Linked DNA regions of Caenorhabditis elegans. The protein of the gene in region 3 interacts with the protein of the main gene of each other region in a pairwise test. Each region holds a gene or a part of one and is shown on either strand. Other genes may lie near its edges. The genes, in order: dpl-1, T02C5.1 and cfz-2.

Region 1 (9,840 bases), on a different chromosome or scaffold from region 3:
ACTTATGAACATTTGACTCTAGATATTTAAAAAAAACACGATATGATCTCTTGCTCTCTGGTAAAAAATCCAGAAACATTAAAAGTATTTGCCGGTTTTTTTCTATTCTGCTGTAATCATGAATAGGGATCGCTAGATAGATCGTAGTCAGTCCACAATGGCCCCCGAAATGTGAGTTTTGCCTTTCGGCCGGCACCCCCATAGGACCGTCACCAGGGTGTTAAGGCTGGTGAACTAAAAATTTCGGGATTTTGCCATACGGCGGGTATCCCTTATCACCCCGGTGTGTGGACAACTCCCCACACTGAAGGAGTTGAACCACCAGTCAGTGCCCCACTGAAGGATAACCGAACCAACTCTGACTTCGTGCCTCGGTACTTACCGTTACTAATCCCTATAATTTCTCACTATCAGTATTCTTTTCATAAGATTATTGATCCGTTTTCCAAAAAACAAGATCTCTGTAGTCACCGACTTTCCAAAACACGTAAAAGATCAACGCAGTGAAATATCTGAATGCGGAATTCGTAGTTAAACAGTATTTGCCCAAAAAACGTCTTTGTCAGATTTAGAAAAAAATCGATTTTCTTAATTTGATATCTTACCTAACCGCTTTTGAAATCTCCGAGGAGTGTTTCAAATCACACATGAACTCCTCTACATTTGCACCATGATCCTTTAATATCTGAGCAACAAGCCCTATTTGCTTGAATCCATGAACTGCTACCACATTTGTTCCCTCTAAATAGTTTTCTCCAAGTTGTGCTCTTTGTTTAACATTTGCTCCGATGTAGAGGTTACCTACCATCTGGAATTGGTAACGTTTTTTAAAAATTCACTTACAATATCATAATAAAACTCTAAAACTTTGACAGATATCTAAATTTTAAATTCAAAATCCAACTTACCCTTTTAGAAATTCGAACAGCTAACATTTTTTAGTGTTGCAGCTGCAGACTTTTACGTTTTGTTCAAATTCGGCGAATCTGCTTCTTCACAACTAATCCAATTTCAATTTCAATTTCATTTTCTTCTTCTTCTTCTGCTTTTGCAGCTCCTCCTTCCTCTTTCTATTCATTACTCCCACTCCCGAAGGAGTCAATTTCAGAAAGAGCAGCAAGCTAATTATTTTCGTGCAACAAGAAAACGGGAGCACAAGCCAAGAAAACGTTTGTTTTATCTATCAAGTGTAGCAGAAGGAAAAAAGAAACAGAGTATACGAGTAGTACAACAATAAAACGGAAAACAGTAACAATAGAAATTGAAAACAAAAAATTTGGCAATTTAGTCGGTATGGAAGTTAGTGCTCATCTTCGGTGTGCTTCTTTCTTTTTCTTGGAATTTCTTCTTCATCTGCCTCCCCACCTTCAGCTCCTTCATTTTCCGGTTGTTGCTGCTCGCGGAGTCGCTTCAGACGTTTCTTTTCCTGGAACATGTGTCAATTTGAGGTTTATTCAAATAATTTTGACAATTTTGATAAAAGTGCAACCTTGTCAAGATGACACTTTCGGTAATGGGCATGTTTATAATATTATCACTCAATTTGAAGCTATGATAATAAATTGATAAACTTTTTGAAAAAAGTTAATCGAATTCAGGGAATCAAAATATTTTTTGTGCAAGAATAAAGTCAGGTATTTGATGTTTAGCACTAGATACTGTCGACCACGGGTGTCGGTTTTTCGATTTTTTGTGACTTACTCAAAGTATGTAACAAAAAATCGAAATTTTCGTTTTTTTTTCGATTTTTCGATATTTCGAAAAAATTTTCAATTAAAAAAAAATTAGCTTAAAATTTTGGTCATTTCCTTATTTTTTAAAGAAATTTTTACGTTCCTTCATCAATATAAGCTAAATTAGATTTTTTAAATCTTATTTTATGATTAATTTTCTGAACATTTTTTTCGACTTTAAGATTTTTCAGAAAATCGAAACATCGAACATTTTCGTTTTTCGATTTTCCCTCGAAATAATCGAAAAATCGAAAAAATCGAAAAACGACACCCTTGCTGTCAACCATATTTCTAAAAATAGCTTATCTACCTTTTTCAGTCGTTTACGTTCAGCTTCATCAAACTCTTCATCAATAATTTCTTCCTTAACTTCTTGTTTTACTTCCAGAATAGTTTCAACTGTTTCCAGAGTTTCTTCCTTATCTCTTTGTTCTCGTCTCAATCGTTTTCTCTCCTTTTTTTCGGCTTTTCGACGAGCTTTTTCTTCATCCGATTCTTCTTCCTCCACTTCAGTCTTTATTTCCATTTTCACTTCTGTCTGATTAGCAGCTGCAGCCTCCCGTTTTGCCTTCAAAGCAGCCATTTTTGCAGCGAAATAGTCACCGACGGATAGGGTGCTGACAGTGTTATTTCCCTCCTTTTTCTCTTGACTGTCAGCTTGGCTATCAGAACTATCAGATTTTACAGATGAATTTTCAGTTTTTTCTTCGATTTTCTCTTCGGCATTGTCAGATTTGAGTCTTCCATATCCAAGAATTCCTTTTTTGTGGCTATCGCTGTAGTTACTTGTATCCTTGGCGCGAGTGAATTTTTGATAACTAAAAATTGATATACTTATACTTTTTTAAAATGATGTTTCAAACTTACTGAATTCTTCTCCTAATCGATTTGCTTTTCAATTCAATGGAAATCTTCTCCGCAGCTGCATTCTTTTCTTCTTCCGTTTGTTCTGGTTCCTGTTCTTTATTTTTGTTCAAAGCTGCCAAAAGATCGGCGAAATCGTCGTGATGAGAAATCCATGTAGAATCATAATCAGCCATTTTGTCAGCACCAAGTCCTCTTCCAGAAGTATTTGCCTTGAGCTTCACAGAGTCTGCGTTTCCTTGACGATTTCTTCCCAGGCCATCTCCTTCGGACCATCCCATTTTCTCCATAAGCTTTTTTGACAGTCTGTAAAATGTTGATGAAACCTGATTATTGATAGGAGAAAACTTACTTCTGATCGTCATTTTTCCATGTCAAATTTTGGGGATCAATACTAATTTTTTGTTTTCTCTTCGGCTCTGCCAAAATCGACATTTTCCAAAAGAATTGAAGCGTCGATAAACCCTAAAATCACAGGAATTGAAATATAATTAGAATGATTGTATAAATAAAATATTACAGTGTTCCGAACACTGGTAAAATCAATAATGTTAAAATAAATTGGAGCAAAGAAGACACTTTTATTTCAGACAGACAGATCAAATAAATTACAACGAAATCATACAGAAAATAGTCATCGAACCGTTTTAATGAGAATTTTACATTTTACAACACATTATTCTCCCAGTAATTCCAACACCCAAACTTCGCTCATTCCAATCATTTTCATGGGTGGTCCTTGATACAATGATCCTGCCATTACCATCAATTGACCTCCAAATGGAATCTCATAGAGTCCATAAAAGTATGGTAGAAGCCAATAAACTACTGGAATAACTACGTAGAATTGTCCTGCATGAGTGTGTCCAGATAAGACAATATCAATTTCTGATAATTCTTTCGGATGATCTACGATGAATTCTCGAATTGATGCCGGATTGTGTGCCATGACGATTTGAGAAGTATTTGATGGACATCGATGGATGGCTTTTGGTAGATCCATTTTAGTGTTCAAGATTCCAGATTTCGGACTTGAAATATCGTTTACTCCAGCCAAACAGACTCCTTTCAGCATTGTACTTCTGAAAAATATCACTGTTACTTCCAAGAAAAACTCAAAAACTTTGTAAAACTTACTCGTTTTCAAGAACATTAATACGGCCATTTTTGTAGAATCTTATCCATTCCTGAACGTCTCCATAATAATATTCATGATTGCCAGTTACGAAATAAGTAGGTGCGTGAGCAGGGAGTTGACTGAAAACAAAAATTGAAATTTTGTGAATCAAACTAATTCGCCTACAGAATTGGTCGAACTCTATCCTCGATTTCCGCAACAGGAGCATCTACCATATCTCCAACAATCAGAATAGCATCAACTGGATTTTCAAGCACTTTTTCGACAACTTGATTGATTTGTTCCGAATAAACACTTGCACCAGCGTGCAAATCAGAGATCACTGCCAATTTTAATCGATTTCCATCAGCAGTGAAGTTTTTTATTTTGATGGTCTTTTCTTTGACAACAATCCAATCGCGTGATATAAACATACTGACTGACAGAAGCAAGGTGATTATCATTGTGAATCTGAAAATAACATTTTTAATGATAAGTTCCGAAATGAGATGTTTTTTGTTACTTTATTTGAGATCTTCTTTTCCACATGAGATCGTTAAAATAAGGAACCTTTCCTATTATTTCCAAAATCGAAGCGGTGTAATGGAACATCTGAGAAAATTTTTTTAAAATAATTTAAATATTATTGAAATTAATATTACCTTCATTTTTCCAGCATAGAAATTAACAATCCCAAATCCACATACGAATGCAATCATGTTAGTCCATATTCCCGCGCAGATTGAGGTGAGATCGAAGAGAAGCCACTGAAATGCAAGAGACTCTTTTAACAGCAACACAATTTCTAAAAACAAACCTGGAGAAATGCTGGGGCATAATACATAAAATAAATCGCTTGTCCGAGAACTAGGAAAATAATAAGGCCATCCGAGCATCGTTTCCGGATTGTCTGAAATGAGAATAGGTCAGTTTTTGGTGAGAAGAAGATTTAATCGATTTGAAGAGAAAAATAGTTATGGTCTTTGAAATCGTAGCAGGAAAACAAAATAAATTTTTATTTAAAAGCAAATTCTTGTTTTGCTAACTTTTTCCAACAAGAATATTGCAATTTGTTGAAATTTCAGTGTCGAACGAAAAAAAAAGAAAATTTTGTTCAGCAACAACACTCCGCCTTGACACCTCTCGCGTTGTTTATCGTCATTGATGGGTCTCGCAACGCACGGCGCGTCTTCAAATTTGGGTTTTTTCTGTTTTCCTCCATCTTCCGAATATTATTGATTTCTCTCACGTATTGATCAAAAATTGTTCTGGTTAACGTTTGTATTGCAGCGTTCTTAAAAACCGATAAAATTTAGATTTAGAACAGAAAAGAATCAGTTTTTTACGATGGCAACAAAATATCATTCATTATTCTTATAATTAACACTTTTCGTAGCTTTTCTCGTAATCAAAGTCATCATTTACAGATCTAAGCAATCGAAAATCTTGATTCGTCCAGGCAGGTCCTGTAGAAATGAACCCGGTTTGTAAAATAAGAAATCGATATTATATTAAACTAACATTTGCAGACAAACTACGATCCCCGTATCGGCCAACCGGCACAAAGTCGACCACAAGTATCCCTGAGTATGGGAAGACGAATTGTTCAAATGCCTACAGGTCTTCCTCGTTCATACCAAGATGAGAGTCACAATGAACCTGTGGGCTGGGATGAACCTTCGGGAGTTGGAGGATCTAGTGGAGCAGGAGGTCAACAATCTGACAAACCAACCGGACTCAGACATTTTTCCACGAAAGTTTGTGAAAAGGTGAAAGAAAAAGGATTGACGAATTACAATGAAGTGGCTGATGAACTGGTAGCAGATTACTTTCAAAATAATCTTATCAAGCAGATTGATGTTGTGGTAAGAAGTTTGTTTTTCTTCTTTTGAAAAAAAACTTTTTTTTTCTAGAAACAAGAATACGATATGAAAAATATTCGGAGGAGAGTATACGATGCGTTGAACGTTCTTTTGGCAATGAATATCATCACAAAAAGCAAGAAAGATATCAGATGGATTGGACTTCCTGCTTCAGCTTCACAAGAAATTTCGAGATTGGAAGAAGAGAAATCGCGACGGGAAGCCAGCATAAGTTCCAAAAAGCAGGCTCTCGAAGAAATGGTATTGCAAATTGTTTCTTACAAAAATTTGGTCGAACGGAATAGAAAAAATGAGCAGTACGTTTGAGTGTTAAATATTTTAGAAAAGTTAAATTTTCAGCAAAAATGGTCGCCCAGAAAACGACACTGTACTTCATCTTCCGTTTTTAATAATTAATACTGATAAAGAGTAAGTTGAAATTCCAAAATTATAATAGTCTCAAATATCTATTTTTAAGAGCAAATGTGGAATGCAGTGTATCATCAGACAAATCCGAATTTCTGTTCTCGTTCGACAAGAAGTTTGAAATTCACGATGATTTCGAAATTTTAAAAAGTAAATTTAAATGCCAAAAACCGATAAGATCCACATTTTTCAGAGTTGAACCTTGCATGCAGTTTGGAGACTACAAATCCCACAGCGGAAGAAGTCAAAACTGCGAAAAGCTTTTTGCCAACCTTACACCAGCACTATGTCGACGAAATCATTGCCAGTAAGTATTTCTTTTTAAAAATCAATCATGGAAACCACAATTTTCAGACCGTAAAAAGGTTGAAGCAGAAAAAGAGGAAAAGAGAAAACAACAACAGTTGATTGCTGATCAAATGTCTATGAACCTCTCACAAGCCCAATACGTTGAGCCGACAAGCTCTTTGGCGCAAATGTCATATTCATCGCGATTCAACAGACAGCTTCAGGAGCATTTGATAAACGATGGAAGTGAGGACAGAAGTGGTAAAAAAGTTTTTTAAAAACATTAAAAAAATTGTTTTTTCTAGCTGCTGCCGGTATAATGGAACGCGATTATGATATGGATAAGAATGTTAATCAGGGATCAGCCAGCCGAGGGCCAATGTATAATACTTATAGTCCACAAAAGATTCGAGCTCAAGTTAACACGCCTCTTCAAGTACCACCCGTTACCAAACGATATTACGTACAGAAGACACAAGGACCAATGAAGGTTTGTTCAAAATGAAGATTTTTCAGTACAACTAAAACATTTTCAGCATGATATGACTCCCGTCGTTCGAACTGTCAATCGGCCGTACTCTACTGTACCTCCAGATCGCAGGCTCTCAACTGGAGCTACTTCTGTGAATTCAGGACCTGTAAAATACTACGTGCCACAAGGACATCAACCGATGCATCAGCCAGTTGGTCAGAGATATGTAAGTTCGTTTTAAAGATTTCACAAACTGATTTTTCTTATTTTTCAGAGAGTTCGTCCACAGCAACCACAAATGAGTCATATGGGTCAGCCACATCAAGTGCAACAGAGAGTTGTCTATCCTGCTGGAAGCATTTCTGGACATCAGTTACAACCTGGACAACGAATCGTAACTCAGCGAATTGTTGCTCCAGGTGGTCCACACCCGCCGGGCACAATTGTTCGGAAAGTGATTCGTAAAATTGTTGTCAACAATCCAAAGCAATCTCCAGCTCAACAAGTTATACAAAAGAAAATGATGGAGCAAGGTAATTTAAATTTGCCTTAAATAATTTAAATAATTTAATTTCAGATATGTGCACATTTGAACGCAAAACGGAACAGCCGATGACTTCTGCGCAGGCCGCTGCTCTCATTCAACACCCTCAACCGGAGGAATACGATTATTTCCAGTAAATGTTTAATGTAACTAGTTGTTATCCCCCTTTTCCCAGTTTTTAAAGGTTCTCAAACGATTCTCATCTGCTTTTAAAATAGTTTCTATACGAGTTTCAATTTTATTTCTAGACTCCTTTAAAATCCCCTCTTCTTTAATCTTTAAAATAGTATAGTCTTCTTCGTCGATTCTATTCCGACATTTGCCAGATTAGAATTGACGACAGATTTCATAATCTACCTTTTACATTATTATTTTGTGTTCAATTTGACATTTTGAAATATGCTTCTTATATGCCCCGACTTTGACAGCATTATATGTAACTCAATGCTCCCGATTTTACCATCATTTTTTATGAAAGAATGATAGATTATAATTTTTAGTTTTACCTGCATTTTTCGGCGATCCAACGATTTCTCCTTGACAATGTCATCGTCGAACCATCTCATCAGCTGGCCGTATGCAAACACATTTAACAGAGTTAAAATGCACTTTAATTGGATTAAATTAATTAGATTTTTTAATTAGAAGAAGCAACTCACTTCAATGCGGAACACGGCAATGACTCGACGGCGGTTACCAACTAAATATCCTTCCACTGATTCAATCTGGAATATGATATCTTATAGAAAAAACTGGGCTTATGTAAATCAACTCACCCAAAATCTTGAGCAATACGTGAGCAGAATCCAGGAGATAACCGAGCCAAAAACGAGAAATCGCTCGAAACTCATCTGAAATTGAAACTGCGAAGACATACTCACTCGAGATCTTTTTTCTGATCGCTTTTCCTGTTTAGCATAGAATTGTCAATGTTCTCTCTCAGTTTATCGCCCAAACTCATCTCCTTACATCCGATTTCTATCGGGAGAAGGAGAAAATTTAGAGAATGACCATTTCAAAAGTACGTGGAAGCGACTGGATTATCGGCTGTGTTGTACGGGATGAAAACATAAGAATAAGTTCAAAGAGAAAAGCGAAACTTTATTATTACAAATAAATAATACAATTTAAATAATTTAGATATAGATTTTTACAGGGCTTTAGTTCTTTTTTAACAATTGGCACTAAAATTATGATGAATATTGTAATATCACAGAAAAAATTGAAAGCGTTTTTAATAAATTGATCTAGATGTTGGAGGTGTTGTGAGAGTCGTCGCCAAGGTTCTCGGCGTGTTGCTCTAGACTTTGAAGAGCCATTCGCATAGTGGTTCGCATGTTTTTAAGGCATTGCTGAAGACGTCTGAAATATGAGAACTATTTGTTTTTCCAATTCGATTTAAAAACATACTGATTATCAAATCGTCCGACGAGTCCTGCTCTATAAGTATTTATTTGCACCCGAATTGCCAGCGTGGCATACGTTGAGAGAGCCTCTTCAAGACCAGTCAAATCAATGACAATTTGTGTTACAATCAATGGTGATGTATCTTGATTCAGTCGGGAAAAATGAAGAAGAAGAGCATCAAGAGCATTTGATACTGTTTGTTGGAGACATTCAATTGCTAGCTGTGGAGCATAAAGTTCTAGTTCTGCTTGTTGGAGCACAGAGCAGAGGATCATTTCCTTGGCGTAATCGGAGATATCTGAAATAGAAAAAATATTATTTTCCAACTGTAGGTATCAACCATTGCTGTAGATTTTTTGTTATTCGTGTTTTTGGCGGAATTTTTTCTTCTAGATTTTTCAGTATTCATAAATTTTTATTTTTTTTACAAAAAAAAGACAACATTCAAAATTATTAATTCTATAAAATATCTTTTTTTAATCTCGTAGCGAAAACTACAGTAATTCATTCATTTTTTTGGACTACTGTAGCGCTTGTGTCGATTTACAAAAACCTTTTTTCATCGATAAAATTTTGAATGAAAACACAAAAACTATTTTGGAAAAACGAAAAACTTAAGAAAATTTGAGAATAGCTGTAACTTTTCGAAAATAAATTAATTTTAAAAATTGAGCCCGTAAATCGACTCAAGTGCTACAGTAGTCATTTGAAGAATTACTGTAGTTTTCGCTACGAGATATTTTGCGCGTCAACTATGTTGCTCAATACGAATTTTCAGAATTTTGTGTAAATAATACATAAAAAGAGTTCCATTACAGCCAAAATATTTAAAAAAAATTTAAAAATAATGTTTCAAACTAAAAAAAAACTTTGTTCACTTTTTTGTTGTATTTTCTAACTTTTTTGTTTTAAATTTCGAAAAAATAATCTGATTCAGCTCTGGTATCATCTGAAATCGTTGAACATACCATCATCATCTGGTAAGTACTCATAAGTTGCTGAAGCAATAAGAGGTTCAAATGCACTGCTCATCATCGCAATGCAATCATTGATCATTTTAGTTCGGAATGCGGAAAGTTTTGCTCGAGATTTCTGAAAATAAAAAAAAATTGTGAAGCATAAATTTT
Region 2 (10,533 bases), on a different chromosome or scaffold from region 3:
GGTTTCAATTTTGTTGCTTTGCAGAATCCCAGTCTCCATGGATGCGTTACTTGGTGGGGATAGTGCGATGGTGGGTCGCATGCCAACTTTCTGGATGTACATTTTGATTGGCGTCGCTGCTTTGCTGTTTGTCATCTGTATTATTGCAGTTTGTGTTAGAAGACGTGAGTTTGAAAATGCGAGATTTACTTCACAGTGGAAAAAATTTTTGTACAGTAATACAGTTTCATGGTGAACTTTAGGGTTTCAAGCCACTTGTGGGATTGTTGTCACAAATTGTAGTAGCAATGTTACCAGAGGAAAAGATAAAAAATTTCAAAAAGTACAAGTGAAATTGCCCGAAAAGCTAGAAAAGGCTACTGGGGATAGGCCCAAAAAAACTCAACACGAGTCCAAATAATCGAATCCCTTAATAAGACTTTTCAAATATTTTCAAATATTTTCTTGAATATTTTTATGGGGGTTCTAAATTTCCAAAAAAAAGGCTAAATTATATCTAAAATCTCTCATTTAAAAACTGGTTTATCATCATTTATAGCATATTTTGGTCGTTTTTTATTAATTAAGGTAATGTAGCTTAATCAATAATGTAAGATAAAATACCAAAATATGCAATAAAGAATGGAAATTTAAAAAAAGCCAATTTCGGAGTTCTGCGACACAAAACATCGACCAAAATTTGAGATTTTAGCCAAGGTAAAGCAATTATTGTTTAAAATTTTGAACCGCCATAAGTATATTTTCTAAAATTGAGAAAGTTTGAGAAGTTTCATCACGAAATTCGTTTATATATAATTAGGAAACCTAGAACCGTTAGCCCTCCTGTAAGTTCGACAGTTGAAATTTTAATTAATAACGTACGGTGATGATGTATCACCCTGAAGATCGAAAAAAAAATCGAAAAAGATAAGTAGAAGCTATATGAAAATTAGAAAAACAAATTCTCATGTTTTAGATTTTTTGGCTTAAAACATTTTTTTTTCCTAATGTGGCTGGGTACTACAATTTAAGGAAACGAACTCCCAAGTGGCAGAGTTCCGTTATAATTTTTCAAATAATTTAGCAGAATACATATTATGAACACGTTTAATCATCAATAAAATTTCAGGCGTGAAAGATCACCCAGACTACAATGAGCCGAAAACAAAAGCAAAGTAAGTAAGATCATAGTACATAGAATAGCGCTGTAATAAATCCTATTTTCAGCTTGAACATTCACCAAGAAAATGATTATTTCGAGCCACCACCAAATGCTCCACGATTGTTCGCACAACACCCACCCGAGGTATGCGATACGGCGTACGGCGTCTATTTGAGTCGTGAAGCTGTCGTCTGAGTTTGAAGGTTGTATCTTCCGACCCCCGATCCCAATCCCCCGACTTCCTAATCAATCTCATTCCATTCTCACACATTGTCATAGTAATCAAAAAAAATGTTTTAGGTATTCGGTTTTCTCCTTCTTTTTGTGATAACTTACCCTCTCCCCAACGCTTCGCTTCTAAGCTCATATTATCCACCATTTCACATCCCACTCATATCTCACGTGTTAAAATGTTAAAACCCACTTAATATCAAACGATTTTAGGTAAACGCGTACGACCAGGCTGTCAAAGATGCTCAATTACGCATGTCTATCGTCTAACACACTAAAATGGCCGTTTATGTGTGTGCGTGTCTCTTATTAAACTGTGTTACTGCTTTCCTTATTTACTTCCCTCTCTCTCAAGGCTCTAACGCTGGTGTGCATGCTCTCAACCAATCCAAGCTTTCAATTCACAGCCTCCTCTCTGCTTAAAGCTTTTTAACTGGGTTCACTTCTTTCATTCATTTCTTTGTTTTTTTTCTCATCATCACTTCAGAAGAAACGGACAACGGTCGCTGCATTCCACGAGGGTGTGAACTATGCAGAGCTCGAACTCAAAAGAGGCTTCGCAGCACAGCCATCAAGTACCGTATCAATCAGCTCTGTTAATAGTAGACCGCATAGGGGCACTGCTTCTGTTCAGTCTGTCGTCTAGCTAATCTATGTGTACATCCACTATCCTCCGTGTTACCTGTTTTTTAAAAACCGTATTGAAAAAGTTTTAATGGCCATATTTGAAATTTTAATTACAAATGTACCTTTCTGCGTTTTTTCTTTCTTTTTCATTTTTCACTTTCCCTTCTAGAACCATCCCTTGTTTGATTTTTTCTTCGAGCATTGTCAGCCATTCATGCAACTTCGGGTATTATATGCTATCTCTATCACCTCTCATTTCCCTCCACTTAAATTTCGTGGCCTCAGGCGGTGTTATCACCCATTTCCCTTTTTGGTGTTTTACCCCGACATTTTTTTTTGAAATGGAATAAAGGTTTTATCAAAGATACATTCTTCCCATAAATTTTAAATTTACTATTTCAGAACGTAAAAAGAAATGAAATGGAAAATGCGGATGCACATTTAAAAAATACAAAAATAAAAAAATAAAGAAGATTAAATATACAAACAGATAATTCTCATAATTCTCACGGAGAAGATAAAATTAATCAAACATCGAAAACTGGGTTGACATGAACGTGACGGCTGGCCTGTTTTTCCTTGCTTTCAAGCTTCTCGATATAATTGCTGGAATCAATGATCACTGGAATAAACTTTGTACATTAGATTTTTTTGTAACTCTTTTGAAATCCCTACTATGATAGTCCTGCGAGTCGGTGGGGACGCCCAAGAATTCCTTTCTTTCCGCACGCATCAAAGCATATGTGATAGAGAGAATAGTGCTGGAAAAACAAACCATAGATTTTACAGTTCAAAAGTTAGAATCTGAGACGTGTTGATTTATAGTTTGATCTACAAAAAAAGGCGGGAAGTTTTTTTCCAGAAAAATTGAGACGTTAGCACCATGCGAAATCAGATGAGATGTCTGCGTCTCAACTCCCGCATTTTTTGAAGATCAAATCGAAATATGACATTCTGAATCCACGTGATCTAGCTTACTTACACAACAATGATCATTCCCATACAGATGACAAAGACTGAACCCAAGTTTTTAATGAATAGTGGTGAGCTTTCTGTCTCATCATTCAAGATCTTTCTTCTATTTTTGAGCGACTTTCTGAAAAATGGAAATTTCTCAAATAAAAATCATTGAAACATTGACTTACGCGATGAGCTGGTCAAATTCCTCAATCTCCTCGGCTTCGACAACTTCGACGTTCTGTATTTCAAAAAAATTTCAGAAATCCGGGTAGATTTGCAGACATACCGTTCTGATTGGTTTCACTTGATCATCAACCCAATTGTCCCACTTGATTTCACGCTCGTTTGACTCTTCAGAGGAGTCATAATCGTCTTGGTTGATTTTGCGCACAGGGTTTGGTAGGGCTTCAATCTCTCGGAATGTGGCCTCGGCTTCCTGAAATTAAAATGATGAATTTAGTTCTGAAAATTTAAAAATTGGGCACTCAATTTTCATGGTCAATTTCAAAACATAAGAGCGAGATATCCCAAGTTTACATCAAAAAGTTAGCTTCACACAATAATTTTTTTGTAGATTATAGATGATACTAAAAGTGAGGGAATTTATGACGGCAGTTTCAAAAATGTTTAACCACCCCAACGGTTTTAACTCGGAGCCACTTTTTCTGGCATCTTCTCAATTGTGTGCGAATTTTGCTTAAATTAAACACTTAGAAAATCAACAAAAACAAAAAGAAAAAAGTTAGTTCAAGAAAATTGGGTCGTCAAAAAGTCTTCAAAATTTTTTTGAGTATACAAAACTTTTCAATTTCTTATTTCAATGATTTGCTCCGACATATTTCAGAAGCGGGATAGCTCAGTTGGTAGTGGTGGTCGCTAGCAATCTGGAGGCCACGAGTTCAAGTCCGGCCTCACCCTTATATCCCAGTGAGAGCACTACCAGGCAGTGTTCCTGACTTCCAGATCCGCAGTGCATAGCACAATTTAAATATGCTAACTTTATTGTTTTGTTGTTTTCCACCTACCTCATGAGAAACAATTGTAGTTTTTCCTTTCGCAATTTTAACAGAAGACGGAACTTTTTCACTTTTTTCAATCATGTAAGCTTTGACTTTTTCCGAAACAATTTCGCTTCCAATCTCATTTTCATCAGTCTTCTCCTCTTCGCCAATTTCTTCCGAAGAACTTGAATCATCTCCTTCTTCATAAGTCGGGTCTGGTAGCTGGTGCTCTTGACTATCGTACACATCTTCTAAACTGTTTCTCGCCATATCGTAGTTGATCTCATTTGAATCAATCATCTCAAGATTTTCACCTTTGATGAAATTATCTTTAATTGGTAACTCTTCTACCTCCTCACTATCCTTTTCATCATCAAAAACATTGACAAGCTCGTCTTTCAGTTTGGTCATCCCGATGAAATCTAGGCTAGACATAAGACACTTGGTTTGGTAAGAGACAAGCACTCTGAAACATGGGCTAACTTTGTAATAGAATCAGCCTCATTTTATGACATACTCATCAGAAATTTTGTCCAAGTTTGGTTTGTTTCCACACCATCCACAAACTGTGTTTGAAGTATCCGTGCATTTTGCTCTAAAAACTTTAATAGTTTTTCACAAAAGGGAAATTTTCGACGAAATGCGAGTTTTCCGTACGAGATAATAAAATATGTTTAATATATATATATATGACGTCATAAGAAACTGAAAATAAATATTGTTTATCAAGCTTGACCCCTGACTAAATTTTTGCATGATAATGTTCTACAACGGTTGCATGCAGATTTTGAAACTCATAAACTTTCATATTAGAAAATTAATTGAACCTTATAAACGGGTATTTTGAAGTTAAGGTACCTAAATAAATTTTTTAAAAACCCATTTTCTGAAAAACATTCCTACTGATGTGTAAATTTCAAAATTTGCCAATCTCGGCAAATTCGGCAAATCTGCATTTTCGAGTTTTGCTGTGCTGGGCAAATTTGGCATATTTGCCGCACACCCATGCTCCAAATGCCGAGTTAATTTGAAAACCCATGGTGAGTTGAACTCACTATGTTCAATGTTTTGCTAGTCACAAGTTTGAATAAACAAATGCCCGGAAAATTGATTGCTATCAAATTTCTGTTTTCAAACTGAAGTACTGTTTATTCTTATCAATCACCTTGTTACTCAATAGCACTAAGTTTTCACGACACCATATGACACCGAGGTGTGCATGACATGCTCTTCACAGTTATCAGTATTCTGACATCAATGCTAAATGACAAGACCGTTTGAATACACGGGCTGTCAGATTGTTTTATGTTTTACAATTTCATAAGGAATTGGTTTTTCAAGTATCTAAAGATCTAACCGCTAAATCTGGCAGTTTACAGACTTTTTATTACAGATTCCACGATGAGACAGTGTCCCGTAATTTTTGAATGAATTTGGCATAAAAAATATCAACAAAAAATTACTTACAGCTCGTACATGAAGTCACCACATGGAGTGCATTGGAAGCAGACGCCTCTGAAGTTGTAGTGCCCCTAAAACAAATTGAGAACTTACAAAAAAACAATTTAAACATACATCAAAGCATTCGGTAACGTAAGGGGACTCATGTAGCTTGCTGGCCACCTGAATAAAAATTTAACTAGAATATTTTCAAAGTGTACAATAGGTCTCACCAGAGTGACTGTACCAACAAAAAGTAGTAACTGCAGTGCTCCTCTCATTGCGTGCCGCGTGTAAAGGACTGACGCTCTTATCTCAGCGACGTCTTTTTAAATAATTTCAGATTGATAACAGTTCTATTTGTATGGTGTGGTTAGAGAAAAAAAGGTGGTGAACTTTGGAAGCCAATGTTAATTTTCTGAGTTGCGAGGGAGGTGAGTTATGAGGTGGAAAATTAAAAATATGAAAACATGGCAATTGATAGTTTATTAAAAGTGAAGACAAATAACCATTGAAGCACAAATAGAAAAAGTTTCTGCTCAAGTTTCCAAAAACACGCGGATTTGTTTTGTGAAAAAAATTATTAACTATTTAAAAAGATGACATTCTCCATTAAAACAAATTCGAAAACATAGTTGATGAAAATTTTCTTGAAAATTCAAAAAAAAAATTTTATCACTTGGAAAGTGATCTTGCTCTTGTCTCCTAATTATGATAAATATACAACATTTATAATTGAAACTAACAAAAATATTTTTTCGAAATTTGCATGTAGGAATTTTGTTTAAATACACCAATAATAATAATAAAATGACCAAATAAAACACTCCAAACAATTTTGGAAAGTTTGAGTCAAACGTTTGGCGAATTCCAAAATTTTCAAACCGTGAGCTTTAAAGGAAATCCAGAGCAATGCAGTATGTTCCGATTTTCAGAATTTATTAACAAAAATATTGTAGATGAAGTATTGAAAATCTGTGAGTAAGTTCGATTGCGAAAAAATATACAAGTTGAGAAATAGGAAAAGTTTTGGAGAAGAACTGTGGTACGTTGCACTTTGGAAAAAAAATCAGAATCTCCAATTACTTCTATGAGAGTTGAGAGAGTGCACAATCGTGAATGTTAAAATTTATTAAGTTTACACGCCGCTACCAAAAGTACTGTAGGTCGCATTTTTCACAAATGAGCGTTGAAACGAGATTTACGAGCTATCAAAAGTACAGAATATTTCCGGCTTTTAGAACATTTGTATCATTTTAACTGCAGTCACATGAATATATACCATGACTAATAAAAATATCACACATTTTCGTATGCTGGAAAACAAATATTTCATAAGAGAAATGATAATATTGATCAATACTGCAAAATTGTATCCAAAAGCTGGTTCAGTGTTTGACAATCAAAATCCTTGATCCAGCCTAATCAAATATTTGAAGAATAAAAATGCACGGAGTGAATCTAGTAAACTTTACCAGAATAAATCAAGGACTTATATATTTTTGAATTCAAACATATTCAATTTATATTGAAAATTGAATTTTAAAAAAGTTAGGTACAAACGTTTGAAAAATTTATATTATTTGAGACACAAAAAAAACATACCACAAAACTTATTTCTCACTCTAATAATTTATTGCGACTAGTTTTCTATTTTATTTAGTCTTGTGACTAGTCCATTGGCAAAAGTTGCATCTCACCATTTGCATACTCTCACTCACAAAACAATCAAAAATGACAGGAGGGAAGTTATGATAAAAAGCAAATATTGACCAAAATTTTACTGTGTTGTTGGGTCAAAATTGTATCGATATCTAGACAACTGCCCAGATGCAGTCAAAAGACAGAGAGTACGGGCGGCTGCCCACTAATCGTCGTGCCTGTGTGCCCATCAACTGCTCTGGTTGCTCTCGCATCTGTAAGGCGGTGTCTGAATAAAAACTGTGCGTTCTCATGTCCATCTGTGCTTTTTACAACATTTTTTGGTCACTTGTTCTGTTGACAGTGATTTCATAATATTCCATCAAGACGACGGTCTCAATCGTTTTCCGATTAAACCTAAAACAGTTTGTTTTTGACAACACGGTAGTTGTTGTCTTATCAGTGCATTATGGAACATGTTTCCATCAAACATTAAATTGAACAACATTGAGAGAGTTGGGCTCAAAGAATATGTTATGGAGCAAGTATGTAAGTTAGGAAGTATACGAAATATTGCGAATTTTGGCATGTTTATACTTTGTAGGATATGCATATTTTTCCAAAGAAAGTTACATTTTTTGCCTCCCTGACCATAAATGTACTTAAGTCAACAAATATACGCTTAATAAAATACCATAAAGTTTATTAAATAGTAATAGTGTAAAGGTGGTGTAGTCGAATTTTTTATTGCTTTATTAGACTCAAATTTGTCTGAAAATACCGAATTTCGTTATGAAAATTCTTGAAAACGTCTTTAAAAAAAGTTATGATGGCCAAAAAAATGGCCTAAAATTAGTTAAAATTTGAAATTTGACCGACTTGTCAATGTCGCAGCAACTGGAATTTTTTTCAAATCACCGTCAAATTGTGAGTATAGACGTCAATTATCTTGCGTTTTCAACTTGATTTAGGTATTTTAAAGTCGATGGACGGCAAGATTTGGTAAACTTTTTTTTTTTTAATCTCGCCGTCATCGACTTTAAAATACCTAAATAAAGTTGAAAACGCGAGAGAATTACATTCTATAGTTATAACTTGACGTTGATTTCAAAAATAAATTGTTTCCAGCCGCTGCGACATTGACAAATAGGTGAAATTTCAAATTTTAACTAATTTTAGGCTACTTTTTGAGCCGTCATAACTTTTGTTTAAAAGGTTTTCAAGAAGTTTAATTATAAAATTCAATGTTTTCAGACAATTTTGAGTCTAATAAAGAAATAAAATATTCCACTACACCACCTTTAATAGAAAAAAATTCAGACGCTGCGACACCGAGAAGTTGAAAAACTATGATGAAAAAAATCGTTTTTTTCCAAAACTTTGAAAGGCCGTAACTTTTTTGGAGAATTTTTCAAAACGTCTCAATTCAAAATTTGGTAGTTTTGGGTCATTTTGGGTCTAAAAAGCAAAGTCTCGAGTTTCGGTACTCCACCTTTAAAAACTATTCCTATCGTTTGCCAATTGATAAACAAATTTCCACAAAATAATTTTTAATACATACTTGTTTATTAATTAAAAATATTCCACAAGTTCAATATTGAAAGTTACCATAATGTAAAAAATTTTTTGAAAAAGTTAAAGCCATAATTGTAGGACACCTATAGAAGCAGCAAGGTCTTTGGAATTGAAATGGAAAATAAAAGCATCAGGGAAAAAGATCATGGAGTTTGAAAATGGAATTGCACAGAAACATGGTATGGGTTTCGATGGTGGGAAACGATACAGAAACAATACAGGAGAAATACTACTTGAGTATTAACCGGACTATATTTTGCAAGGGGGAGAAAGAAAAGGTGGTTTCAAAACCGGAGAGATTCACAACTAGAATTCACAATTGCTTAAAGTATACAAAGCAGAAAATGACTATGTCTGGGAAAGGTACAAGAATGTTTGATTTAAATACATGTGCGGTGCTTGATGAAAATGCTAGCGTGTAGCCTTAGAAAATTAGTTCAAACGGCTGGATTGGACTGTGAAGTTGATTGGGAAGATGTTTGCTCGAGTTCGGTGCAATCGTCCAAATATCTGGAAACAAGAATATTGGAATAATTTGTTTAAACAATTTTCAACAAGCAATCGGGAAGTTTTGATATATTTTTTGGTCGCAAAATCAAAAAAAAAAATCAAAAAAAAATTTTTTTTCGGGAATTTTCAACTTTCAGACAATTTTTGAGCACTTTTTCAGTTGTTTTATATTAAATGTGATTCTGGTAAAGCAAATATGGGCCTATACTTTTTTATTAAATTTTATTGAAATATTTAAATAATTTTTCAATAATTGCCGCGTGCTTATGGTTTGTCAAAAAATGTCGAAATTAAGAGGTTGATTGTACCCAAAAACTAAAATGAGCTGAAAAGTTCTGCTTTTTGAGGTGAAGTAGAGCCAGAGAGGATTTTGTCGAATACATTCAAAATTATTCTAAACGACCAAAAATGAGCCCAAAAAATTTCGATTTTTCAAAGTTTTGGCAGATTGCTAAACTTATGAAAAATATAAGCTTTTAAGGAAATCCAGAGCAATGTTGCTTGTTCCGACCCCTAGAATGTGTCAACACAAATAGTAGAAAAAAAATATTTTAGGTCAACTTCCAAAATATTGAGTGGCAAAATGAGTGGGTAACTGTCACAAAAAATTTCAATTTTCATACAGATATTTCGTCATTTTGGAGTAGTTGTAAACACTTTCCTCACTGGAGCTACTTCATTTTTAAGAATAATAGCTTGCAAAAGTCTTGTTGAAAAGTTTATCAGTTATCAGAAACACCTGCTTGGCTCTACCAAAGTGTCAACTGTTTCAACTTCCAATTCGAAATTTGTTATTTGTTCAAACATAACAAACCTCTCAAAATCAACGATCGGACAAACGTCCTCCGAACGGCGCCCTGCATCCCTCCATGAGCGTAGTGAGCGTGCACAAAGAAGACGCTGGTTGTCAATTCTGCGCATTCGAGTTTTGCGATTGCTGAAAATATGAAACACTTAAAATTTAAAAGAATACAAAAATTCACCTGTGACGAATGCTAGCCATTGCTGCAAGAAAGGACAAAAGACCAGAAATGCACACGAGGAAAACTCCAGCGCCAATGGCAACGATGTCGTCTTCGCGTTGGTCGGAAATGTCGGTTTGCGCAATGATGGCAATTGTGCAGCAGCAAAGAGTAAGCATCACTGAAAAAGTTAATGGAAATTGTTTGAAAAGAGCCCATCGCCATACTATTGGACATTTCCAAAATGGAATTACTGCGGAGCCACGCGAGAAATGGAGCTGGTGGAGGGAGAAGGCTCATGGTGGCACAAAGAGATGATGTTGCAGAAATTACAAAACAAAGAGCTATGAGAATGTAGAAATAGTTTGCTGTTGATGGTGTTATGCAGTCAACGAGAACTCGGGTCGGTGTATGAAATGCCACATGAGAGTTTCCAGCAGCATCG
Region 3 (10,313 bases):
AGTACCACTACAGTACCTTGACATTATCCATAACCAACTTCCAACCCAATACCTCTTCTGTAGACAAAAACTCAATTTTTCCTAAACTACAGTAACCCTACCGTATACCTACAGTACTCCTACAGTACCACTACAGTACCTTGACATTATCCATCACCAACTTCCAACTCAATACCTCTTCTGTAGACAAAAACTCAATTTTTCCTAAACTACAGTAACCCTACCGTATACCTACAGTACTCCTACAGTACCACTACAGTACCTTGGCATTATCCCTCACCAACCTCCAACCCAATACCTCTTCTGTAGACAAAAACTCAATTTTTCCTAAACTACAGTAACCCTACCGTATACCTACAGTACTCCTACAGTACCACTACAGTACCTTGACATTATCCATCACCAACTTCCAACCCAGTACCTCTTCTGTAGACACTCAATTTTTCCTAAACTACAGTAACCCTACCGTATACCTACAGTACTCCTACAGTACCACTACAGTACCTTGACATTATCCATCACCAACTTCCAACTCAATACCTCTTCTGTAGACAAAAACTCAATTTTTCCTAAACTACAGTAACCCTACCGTATACCTACAGTACTCCTACAGTACCACTACAGTACCTTGACATTATCCATCACCAACTTCCAACCCAATACCACTTCTGTAGACAAAAACTCAATTTTTCCTAAACTACAGTAACCCTACCGTATACCTACAGTACTCCTACAGTACCACTACAGTACCTTGACATTATCCATCACCAACTTCCAACCCAGTACCTCTTCTGTAGACAAAAACTCAATTTTTCCTAAACTACAGTAACCCTACCGTATACCTACAGTACTCCTACAGTACCACTACAGTACCTTGACATTATCCATCACCAACTTCCAACCCAATACCTCTTCTGTAGACACTCAATTTTTCCTAAACTACAGTAACCCTACCGTATACCTACAGTACTCCTACAGTACCACTACAGTACCTTGACATTATCCATCACCAACTTCCAACCCAATATCTCTTCTGTAGACAAAAACTCAATTTTTCCTAAACTACAGTAACCCTACCGTATACCTACAGTACTCCTACAGTACCACTACAGTACCTTGACATTATCCATCACCAACTTCCAACCCAATACCTCTTCTGTAGACAAAAACTCAATTTTTCCTAAACTACAGTAACCCTACCGTATACCTACAGTACTCCTACAGTACCACTACAGTACCTTGGCATTATCCCTCATCAACTTCCAACCCAATACCTCTTCTGTAGACAAAAACTCAATTTTTCCTAAACTACAGTAACCCTACCGTATACCTACAGTACTCCTACAGTACCACTACAGTACCTTGACATTATCCATCACCAACTTCCAACCCAATACCTCTTCTGTAGACAAAAACTCAATTTTTCCTAAACTACAGTAACCCTACCGTATACCTACAGTACTCCTACAGTACCACTACAGTACCTTGGCATTATCCCTCATCAACTTCCAACCCAATACCTCTTCTGTAGACAAAAACTCAATTTTTCCTAAACTACAGTAACCCTACCGTATACCTACAGTACTCCTACAGTACCACTACAGTACCTTGACATTATCCATCACCAACTTCCAACCCAATACCTCTTCTGTAGACAAAAACTCAATTTTTCCTAAACTACAGTAACCCTACCGTATACCTACAGTACTCCTACAGTACCACTACAGTACCTTGACATTATCCATCACCAACTTCCAACCCAGTACCTCTTCTGTAGACAAAAACTCAATTTTTCCTAAACTACAGTAACCCTACCGTATACCTACAGTACTCCTACAGTACCACTACAGTACCTTGGCATTATCCCTCATCAACTTCCAACCCAATACCTCTTCTGTAGACAAAAACTCAATTTTTCCTAAACTACAGTAACCCTACCGTATACCTACAGTACTCCTACAGTACCACTACAGTACCTTGACATTATCCATCACCAACTTCCAACCCAATACCTCTTCTGTAGACAAAAACTCAATTTTTCCTAAACTACAGTAACCCTACCGTATACCTACAGTACTCCTACAGTACCACTACAGTACCTTGACATTATCCATCACCAACTTCCAACCCAATACCTCTTCCAACTACAGACTACAGAGTTCAAAGACCAAAGATCAAAGATCAAACTACATAGGGACAGAAGGACACGCGCTTTATATATAGTAAATGATTTGTATGTTTTTTCTTTGGAAAAGTGTCTGAAAATTTACAAACATGTATTAAATTTAGAACAAAAAATCCAGAAAAATCATGATTTTAGCCAGAAAACGCGAAAATATAAAAAATGACGTCACTCATTTGCGTGGGAATTTAAATTCAGTTTGGCCACATTTTGATATAGGCAAAATTCAAAAAAAATGTTAAAAACTTTTTAACAGTTTATTCGGTCATGACGGTCGTTTTTCTGCCATTTAAAGTGAATTTCAATCGAACACAAGTGTCTTGACTGACAATATTCATGAAATAATCTTCTAATATACCGTAAATGTTTTCAACAAAAAAATCATCAATTAAAATAATATTTATTAGGTATGTACATTCCGAAAGCTCGACAAGAGGAACAGGCAGTATTCAAAAAACAACACTCTAATAAGATTACAAAAACATTGTTTTTAGTTATTAAATTTGTGATATTAAAATTATTTGCAAAAACTTTTCTTTTAAAAAAACTGAGAAAGAATGCCGGGAACTTGAGATCAATGGGATGATGATGGTGAGAAAGAAGAGGTAAAAGCTCATGAGAAAAAACTAATTTTAACGACTACAAGTATTGTGGAAAGTTGGTCCTGAAGAGGTAGATGTGCGGGGATCACAAATATTAAATATGCATTTCTTGAGCACTACAGCTTGTCAGGAATGCCTCCGTAAAGATGGTTGTGTCGGAGACTTGTGTTGTAGAATTGTGAGGATGACATGTCAGATTTAGCGTAAAGTATGTCTGCCGGTTGGTATTTGGGTAAAGATCGGGAGGAACCTAAAATTATTAAATTAATAAAACTTGTTTAAACTCAAGCTAGATTCAACTTACCCAAACAGCAAATAGCATTTTTCCACGACGATAGAGTTTTGGTGCTGCACACCCAAAATCCGGACGTCCATCCCAAAATGCACATACAGCAAGTTTTGATAAGGGAGATGATCAGTGAGGAGTCGCCTGAAAATTTAAAATTTATGAAGAATAATAGGGGGGGGGGGGGGGGTTCAAATTTCAGAAAAAAAATTTGGCGAGAAATTTAAAATTTTTGAAAAAAAATTATTGACACTAATTTAACATTTTTTGAGGAAAAAAATTTGGCGGAAATTCAAATTTTCTGAGAAACTTTTTGACAGTAAATTTAAATTTTTTTCTGAGAAAAATTTTAGCTGGAAGTTCGAATTTTTGAAAAGGAAATGTGGAAAGAAATTCACAATTTTTGAGGCAAAATTTTGCGGAAAAATTAAACTTTTTGAATAATTTTTATCATGAAATTCTAAATTTCAGAGAATATTTTTGGCGGTAAATTCAATTTTTTCGAAATAAAATATTGGCGGTAAAATCAAATTTTTAAAAAAATGTTTGCGGAAAATTTGAATTTTTGAGAAAAAATGTTTGGTGGAATTAAACAAATTTTTGGGAAAATTTTTAGAAAACTCGTTTTTTAATTTTCTAAAAACAATTTTAGCGAGCAACTGAAATTTTTTAATGTGAAAAAAATGTTTACTGGGAAATTTAGATCAAAAATTGTTATAGTTTAAAAAAAAACTCACCGATAGTTTGCTTTGGCGAGCATGAGCACAACTGCGATTGCTCCCATAATGATCGATGATTCTGCTCGTAGAATAGAACACAGATAATCAATAACGATGGAATTGTGTAGAGCAATGAGAAAATCCCGATTTTGCTCATCAACTGCGTGATTTTATGGGCACTCTCCAGTGAAGGATGTTGCTTTTGTACTTCGTTTCTGATACTCCACAAATTGCAGAATCCGATTACCAAGAACAAAACTCCAACGATGAAATATACGAGCAATGGGAAAAGCACAAAGATTCGTTGGAATTGTAGATCAGTATTTCCCACGTAGCAGATTCCAGTTATCGGATCACCATCGATCGCATTAAAAACTATTACCAATACAGTTTGAATAGCGGGAAGGCACCATCCGACCACGTGGAAATGGAATGAGAACGAGGAAATCGCTTCGGGGGACCACTTTGAAGCGGCCGACAGCACCCAGGTTAGCGAAAGGATCACCCACCAAACCGAGGCAGCCATTCCGAAGAAATAGGTGAGCAGGAAAACGACGAAGCACAAGGATCCAGAGTTATCATCAGCCCCCTTAATCCTCATCGAGTCGCATGCGATCTCCTCGTGGCCCACGAAATATCGAATCATGAATCCGACGGCAACCATGAGCTGACAGAATGCCAACATGAAGATCGGACGTTCGGGGTATTGGAATCGATCGGTCTCGATAAGGAATGTGAGGAATGTGAAGGAGGCTAGCACGCAGCATGTGATGCTCCAGAACGCCATCCAGTTGCTCACCAGGCTATGACTCTCGGCCAACGCTGGGGAATGGCATGAGTAGGCGCAATTTGTTACATTTCCAACTTTGGACTTTTCAGATGCCACAAACTGGAACGGTTGGTTACAAGTGCACTGACACTCGCTGGGACCGGCTATTACTTCATTGTCGATCTTGGAAATTCCGACTTCTGGGCCATCTGGACTATAGTTATGATTTTGATTTTGATTCTGGTTCTGATTCTTATGATGATGCCCCTTGTGCTGCTTCTTTGGTGTATCTGGTGGAGCTGCACAGATGTTCCCAGTCGACATCTGATCCGACATCTTTGGCAGCGCCTCGCAAGACAGTGTCTCGGGCCATCTGAATCCGTACTTGGCCATTATTGGACTGCACTTGCTGCGTGCCTCCACACAAAGTTCCATGCACGGGAGAATTGGTTTGTCGTAGTTTTCCTGGCAGATCGGGGTGTACATTGTGCAGAGGAAGAATTTGAGATGTTGGAAACAACCGACCTGGAAATATAAATTTTTTTTTGATTTTTGGAAGAAGGTAAGTTTTTCAAATTTACTTTTTTCTTGATTTTTGCGAAAAAAATTGTGAATTTGTCGTAATTTAGAGCCTAATTCAATTTTGCGTTTTTGCAAATTTTGAGCGCGAAATTTAAATTTGGATTTTATTTAATTTAGCTCAAAATTTAAATCTAATTTTTTTTCAACAACTTTGGCACTAAATTAAGGTTCACATTTTTTTAGTATATAACAAATTTAAATTTATAATCTTGTTTAAATTTTAGCGCCAAATTAAAATTTTAATTTTTAAATTTTTGGCGGAAATTTCAAATTCAGATTTTTTTAAATTTTTGGTGTGATATAAAAATTTCAATTTTATTTAAAATTTAGGGTTGAGTTTTTTCAAAAATTTGGCGCAAAACTCATTCTGAAAAATTTAAATTTTCAGCGCGAAATTCATATTCGGATTTTTTTTTCGAAAATTTTAGCGCCAAGTTAATTTTTTTTTCAATTTAGCGCAAATTCTAAATTTGGTGTCTTTCGAATTTTTAGCGCGAAATTCAAAATTTCTCAATTTGTGGTGCAATATTCAATTTTTGTTTTTTTCATTATTGCAAAAAATATTTCCTCATAGAAAATTGTTTAAAAAACTCACCTCCACCAGCGGATAAAATTGATGAACTTCCAATCCGGCTTCTTCCTGTTTTTCATGTCCATAACTATTCGGGAACGATGTCATATTGTAGCCAATACCTTTGCATAGAGGAATTGTGATTTGCTCACATTTTTGACGTTTTCCAAAAAGAGCCCCACAGGAGCCAAGCAATAGGAACAGCACGCTGATCCGGAGTAGCATATCTAGAAATAAAATGTTAATTTTGAAGTTAAAGATATTAGAAAAGGTATAAAGAAAAAGGAAAGAACAAAAAGAAAAACAAAAAAAAAGATAAATGAAATTTGAGATTTAAGTAGCTGAAGGTGGAGGAGAATAAGAAGACAGGAAAAGTACAAAGGATGCGCTTCCTCCTGAGGAGGGAGGATCGGTGTCAAGTTACGGGAGTTCTTAGAGAAAATGATCCGTTAAAACACAAAAAAATCAATATCCACGTAGCAAAACTGTGATCGCTTATCACTATTTACCGAGTACTACTACTATCATGACACAATACACACAAGAGCTTTGACCTAACATCCAGTGATCAGCTATCGGATCGGTATCAAAAATATAAGAGAGAGAGAGATACCCAAAGAGCACTTTTTCATCATACAGAGCATCAAAAGCATCAAAAAACCAGTAAGGGGAAACGATTTTTTTGCGGGAAATAGTGGAGGATATGTGGAGAGAGTGTTTGCAGGCACTCGAAAAATATATCCAACCAAGATATATCGGAAAGGTCTTTATCAAATTAGATATGTTTTTAGCTAAATTCTCTATATTTAGATCTGGGATGAAATCTGAAAAAAGAATATACAAATTTATGAAAATGAGAAATAAATAAGGCTCAGGATACGAGAATTTTGTTACGTGCTGGGGTATGTAACCTAGTTGTGCAAGCATAGGGGTCTCAAACGGAACACGAATGGAATTCAAGGGGTGTCAGGTTGCATAAGAAGAGCCTAGAAAGAGGAGATATGTTTTGACTCTACCACCTCCAACCAACAACTACTGAAGTTATGTACATATATATGAATGAGCTGGGGGAGATGGAAAGGGGGAGGAGAGAAGAGTGTGCAAATAGGGGAGGGCAAAGTGGTGGCTGGCAAGGAGTTGGAAAATTTTGGAAGGTGCTAAAAGGAGGAGGTGACCCCCACTGTGAGCAACAACAGGTGGAATGGAGGATGGGTTAGAGATGTGGATAGGGCTGAAATTATTATAGGTGGAGTAGCGCCAGTAGGGAAAGTGTTAAAACTACTGACTTGGTGCCAAAATAGCCGAATATTAAGATAAAACGTTTCAAAAACTTTTTGAAAATTTTTTATTTACTGGCAAAAAATGACAATTACTCAATAGGCAAAAACTCATAATTTTGGAAATCGATCAAAATAAATTTTTTGCCCTACATTTTCATACTTTAATTTTGTTTTATTTGTTTGTATTAAAACATTGTAGGGGTCGGAACATGCGACCGGAAATTATTTTTTTAAAAAAATTTTAAAGAGTATTGGCATGTGTTTTTAAAATGACCAAAAATTACAGTAAAAGCTTTTAAAAAATTTTTTTGGAATTTCTTAATGCACTGAAATAATTGGAACAAATTGCATATTTTTCTTCAATTTTTATATTTTAATTGTTTTTTTTATTAATTGTGGAAATTTCCCAAAAGGTACACATTTTTTAAAAATTTGGCAATTTACGAAAACTGACTGGAATCTTTCAAAAATCTATATTTTTTGTAGTGTTTTTACTGATGTTTGGTCATGTTAGACAACCTTCAAATAATTTTAATTTTAAAATCGCAAATCCTGAAAACTACTAGAAAAAAAGTTCCGACTCTACGAAAAGTTGATTAAAAATTAAAAATGTACTGATAAATTATACAAAAATTTAGAATTTTTCCGATACAAAAACAAGTTTTCGAAAGTATAATTTGTTTTTGAAATTAAAGAAAATTCTTTTTTTAAAACTATTTTTAAAAAAGTTAAAAATGTGAATAAATTCAGAAAAATATTCAAAAAATGGTACAAAATGTTGAAAACAAATATATCCAAACGTCACCGACCTTCTAAAAAAAAGGAGCAAAGTTCCAGGAAAACTAAAAAATTTAGAAACTTTGCAATCATTGCAATTATTATTACAAGGAGTTTATAATACCGGAACAAAACATAGAATTTCAGTTCAAAATTATGCACATCTACTAAATTATAAGTATGTACCAAACTAGCATATATGCCAAAAATCAATGCCAAATTTGGCAGGTGCGCTAAATTTCCAGACAGGTGTATGCGAAATTGGCAGGTGTCTATAACTAGGTGCTACTTGGATTTTCAGAAGGTTTGCAGCATGAGCTGGGAACATTTTTAATTTCTAGAATAGAAGGATAGTTTTTGAAAATCTGAACATTTTTGGTAGCAATTTCGAAACTGGAAATTTAAAAATCAAACATATTTTGAAATTCGAATTTCGCAGTTTCAAATCTACCAACTTATTTTCCAAAATAGGATTATAACAGTGACTGGATTGACCTTGCGTTCTCATTTCTCACACACAGAAATTTCGGAACAATGCGTTAGTCCGCATGGTTGGAGACTTATTGACTAACGGAAGAGAGTACTGTAATGACGTGGCATTGTAGTGGTCCGTATTTGTCAACGGAAGGAGGTAAGAACGTGTCTAATGACACCTAGAGTGCAAAAGTATGGGAATAAGAGGGTTGAAAGAGGGAAAATGTTTATAAATGGGAGCAAGTTGGGATACATTTTGGGAGCAAGAAGTATAAACTAACTTCTTATTGGACACAGATGTCGAGAAAAGAACTTGCAAAAATTTTAACCTTGGCAATTTTTAATTTGAGAGAATTGAAGTTTTGTAGTAGAGTTTCTGAAATTTCAGATGAAATTTTGTTCATGAAACACAATCTGAAGGTCAAAAAAACCTCTAAAAATCAAAAAATTGACCCAAAGTTGATTGAAGAGAAATTCAAAAATTTAGATTAGAAATAATGTATAATATAATTTTCATATATTTGCAATTCCAAAATAGAGCTTTTGTATAATATTTGCGAAAATATCTTTCAGATTCCAACTACATACTTCAAGCACTCACAAAAATCTGTAAAAATTCAAAATTCTTTTAAAATTGGAAAAACCTCACATGTAATAACTTTTTGGAAGTCTAAAAAAATTCATTTTAATTATTTTAGAAATATTTTTTCCAAAATAAAATTTCAATATCAAAACCCGAAAATCTCATTAACGAAAAAAATTAAACACAACAACGAAAACCCTTCTAAATCCTCTATTTTTTCGAGTCTACCAAATAATGTAATCTCGAGAACAAATACAATGATATCTTGGGTAAGTTGCATAACACTACGAGCAGCTGGTACCATGCACCTCTGCGAACAGACGGGATGGAACAATAGGTGAACATGAACATAGACTACTGACGGGGGGAGAAGAACTTTGTCTACACACTAATTTGCATAAAATATGTTAGTACTTTAGTGGGGTTTTGCAAAGAAAGGGGGACAGCAATTATGTACTTTTCATCAAGATTTGTTTGGAAAGATTTTCTACCAATTTTCAAAAATTGTGACAAGTTTTCAAAAATCTAGAACAAAAATATAGCTCTCACCGCAATAGTTTTATAACTAGGAGCCAGGGGACCAAGATAAGCCACGCCCCAAAAATGGTCAAGTATTCTCAGAAATTTTATTTTTGGAAAACATTGCTTGTAGCCACTTTGTGGGCATGATCAGCAAATTTAAAAGTTTTAGAAATTGTTTGGTGTCAACCTAAAGATTAAGATTTACAATTACTAACATTTTGAATTAAATTTTTTTAATTTAGTTCCTAATTTTTAATTTACTTTCCACTTTTTATTTTCAATTAAAACGTTAAGTCTCAAACTTGAAAAAACATTTGCGTTAAAAATTTCTGGAATTTCTAAAATTCCAGAAAAGCTAAATTTTTACTTTCAGGAAAAAAGACTCAGACAATTTTTGTACAATAGAATAATAATACAAATGATTGAAAATACACAATTTTTATCTAAATTTCTTGTTCTAAATTTTTTTGTCCTGAATATTTTCCCTTATGCCAAACAAATATTTTGAAAAAGTAGTAAAATAGTAAAACTTTTTTTTTGCAAAAAGCGCAACAAGACGCTGAATGGGTACTATAGGTGAAAATTATGATGAATAGAAAAAGAAGACGGACGGAGCAAAAAGGAGAGGATGCCAGTGCGTTGAAGCATGAACGAAGAAGCACAAGAGACATGAAAAGCAACGTGAATTTTGAATTCTAGTAGAGATGTAGGGGGTAAGGGAATTTGGAATTCTAGAATAAGAAAATGTCGTCTAGAGGTCTCCAGCTGTGAGAGCACCAAGAGTGAGACATCTGACCTGTTGGGTGGCAGAAGAATGGGACTATTAAACGGTCCAATTACAGACAGATGACCAGGTGAAAGTGGGGGTAGAGGAGCGTGGGAATCGGAATTTGAGCCGGAAAAAAGCGAAAATAAAATCCTAGAAACAATTGTGAAAGAAAACCTGTTCCAAATTGTAAGAATTTT

The links.
Region 1: the proteins of cfz-2 (region 3) and dpl-1 interact in a two-hybrid assay, tested with the Caenorhabditis elegans proteins (one study listed by BioGRID).
Region 2: the proteins of cfz-2 (region 3) and T02C5.1 interact in a two-hybrid assay, tested with the Caenorhabditis elegans proteins (one study listed by BioGRID).

The regions. Positions count from the first base shown.
Region 1 is NC_003280.10:9,164,769-9,174,608, forward strand, and holds dpl-1 (Transcription factor dpl-1), read left to right. Parts: upstream 1-5,141; 5' UTR 5,142-5,188; coding exon 5,189-5,197; intron 5,198-5,243; coding exon 5,244-5,579; intron 5,580-5,627; coding exon 5,628-5,893; intron 5,894-5,936; coding exon 5,937-6,005; intron 6,006-6,054; coding exon 6,055-6,152; intron 6,153-6,195; coding exon 6,196-6,309; intron 6,310-6,356; coding exon 6,357-6,551; intron 6,552-6,595; coding exon 6,596-6,780; intron 6,781-6,826; coding exon 6,827-6,988; intron 6,989-7,036; coding exon 7,037-7,295; intron 7,296-7,339; coding exon 7,340-7,443; 3' UTR 7,444-7,797; downstream 7,798-9,840. Other genes in the region: W07A12.8 (DapB_N domain-containing protein), read right to left, coding at 606-808, 909-935; T23G7.3 (G-patch domain-containing protein), read right to left, coding at 1,301-1,426, 2,044-2,551, 2,601-2,903, 2,950-3,032; T23G7.2 (Calcineurin-like phosphoesterase domain-containing protein), read right to left, coding at 3,274-3,679, 3,735-3,854, 3,901-4,185, 4,238-4,326, 4,377-4,481, 4,532-4,624, 7,813-7,914, 7,966-8,031 and 1 more; sec-5 (Exocyst complex component 2), read right to left, coding at 8,554-8,668, 8,717-9,011, 9,682-9,805. UniProt on the Caenorhabditis elegans protein: Synthetic multivulva class B (synMuvB) protein. SynMuvB proteins are required to repress the induction of vulval development by Ras signaling and probably act by forming the multiprotein DRM complex that represses transcription.
Region 2 is NC_003284.9:2,690,083-2,700,615, reverse strand, and holds T02C5.1 (TNFR-Cys domain-containing protein), read right to left. Parts: upstream 5,694-10,533; 5' UTR 5,682-5,693; coding exon 5,634-5,681; intron 5,584-5,633; coding exon 5,536-5,583; intron 5,493-5,535; coding exon 5,428-5,492; intron 4,556-5,427; coding exon 4,478-4,555; intron 4,427-4,477; coding exon 3,985-4,426; intron 3,396-3,984; coding exon 3,246-3,395; intron 3,198-3,245; coding exon 3,145-3,197; intron 3,096-3,144; coding exon 2,982-3,095; intron 2,761-2,981; coding exon 2,675-2,760; intron 2,622-2,674; coding exon 2,527-2,621; 3' UTR 2,343-2,526; downstream 1-2,342. Other genes in the region: igcm-3 (Ig-like domain-containing protein), read left to right, coding at 25-164, 1,109-1,154, 1,207-1,285, 1,860-2,018; T14G11.1 (Membrane-associated protein), read right to left, coding at 9,054-9,126, 9,941-10,063, 10,110-10,269, 10,316-10,533.
Region 3 is NC_003283.11:3,438,940-3,449,252, forward strand, and holds cfz-2 (Frizzled-2), read right to left. Parts: upstream 5,939-10,313; 5' UTR 5,937-5,938; coding exon 5,736-5,936; intron 5,084-5,735; coding exon 3,808-5,083; intron 3,215-3,807; coding exon 3,089-3,214; intron 3,035-3,088; coding exon 2,901-3,034; 3' UTR 2,565-2,900; downstream 1-2,564. UniProt on the Caenorhabditis elegans protein: Receptor for Wnt proteins.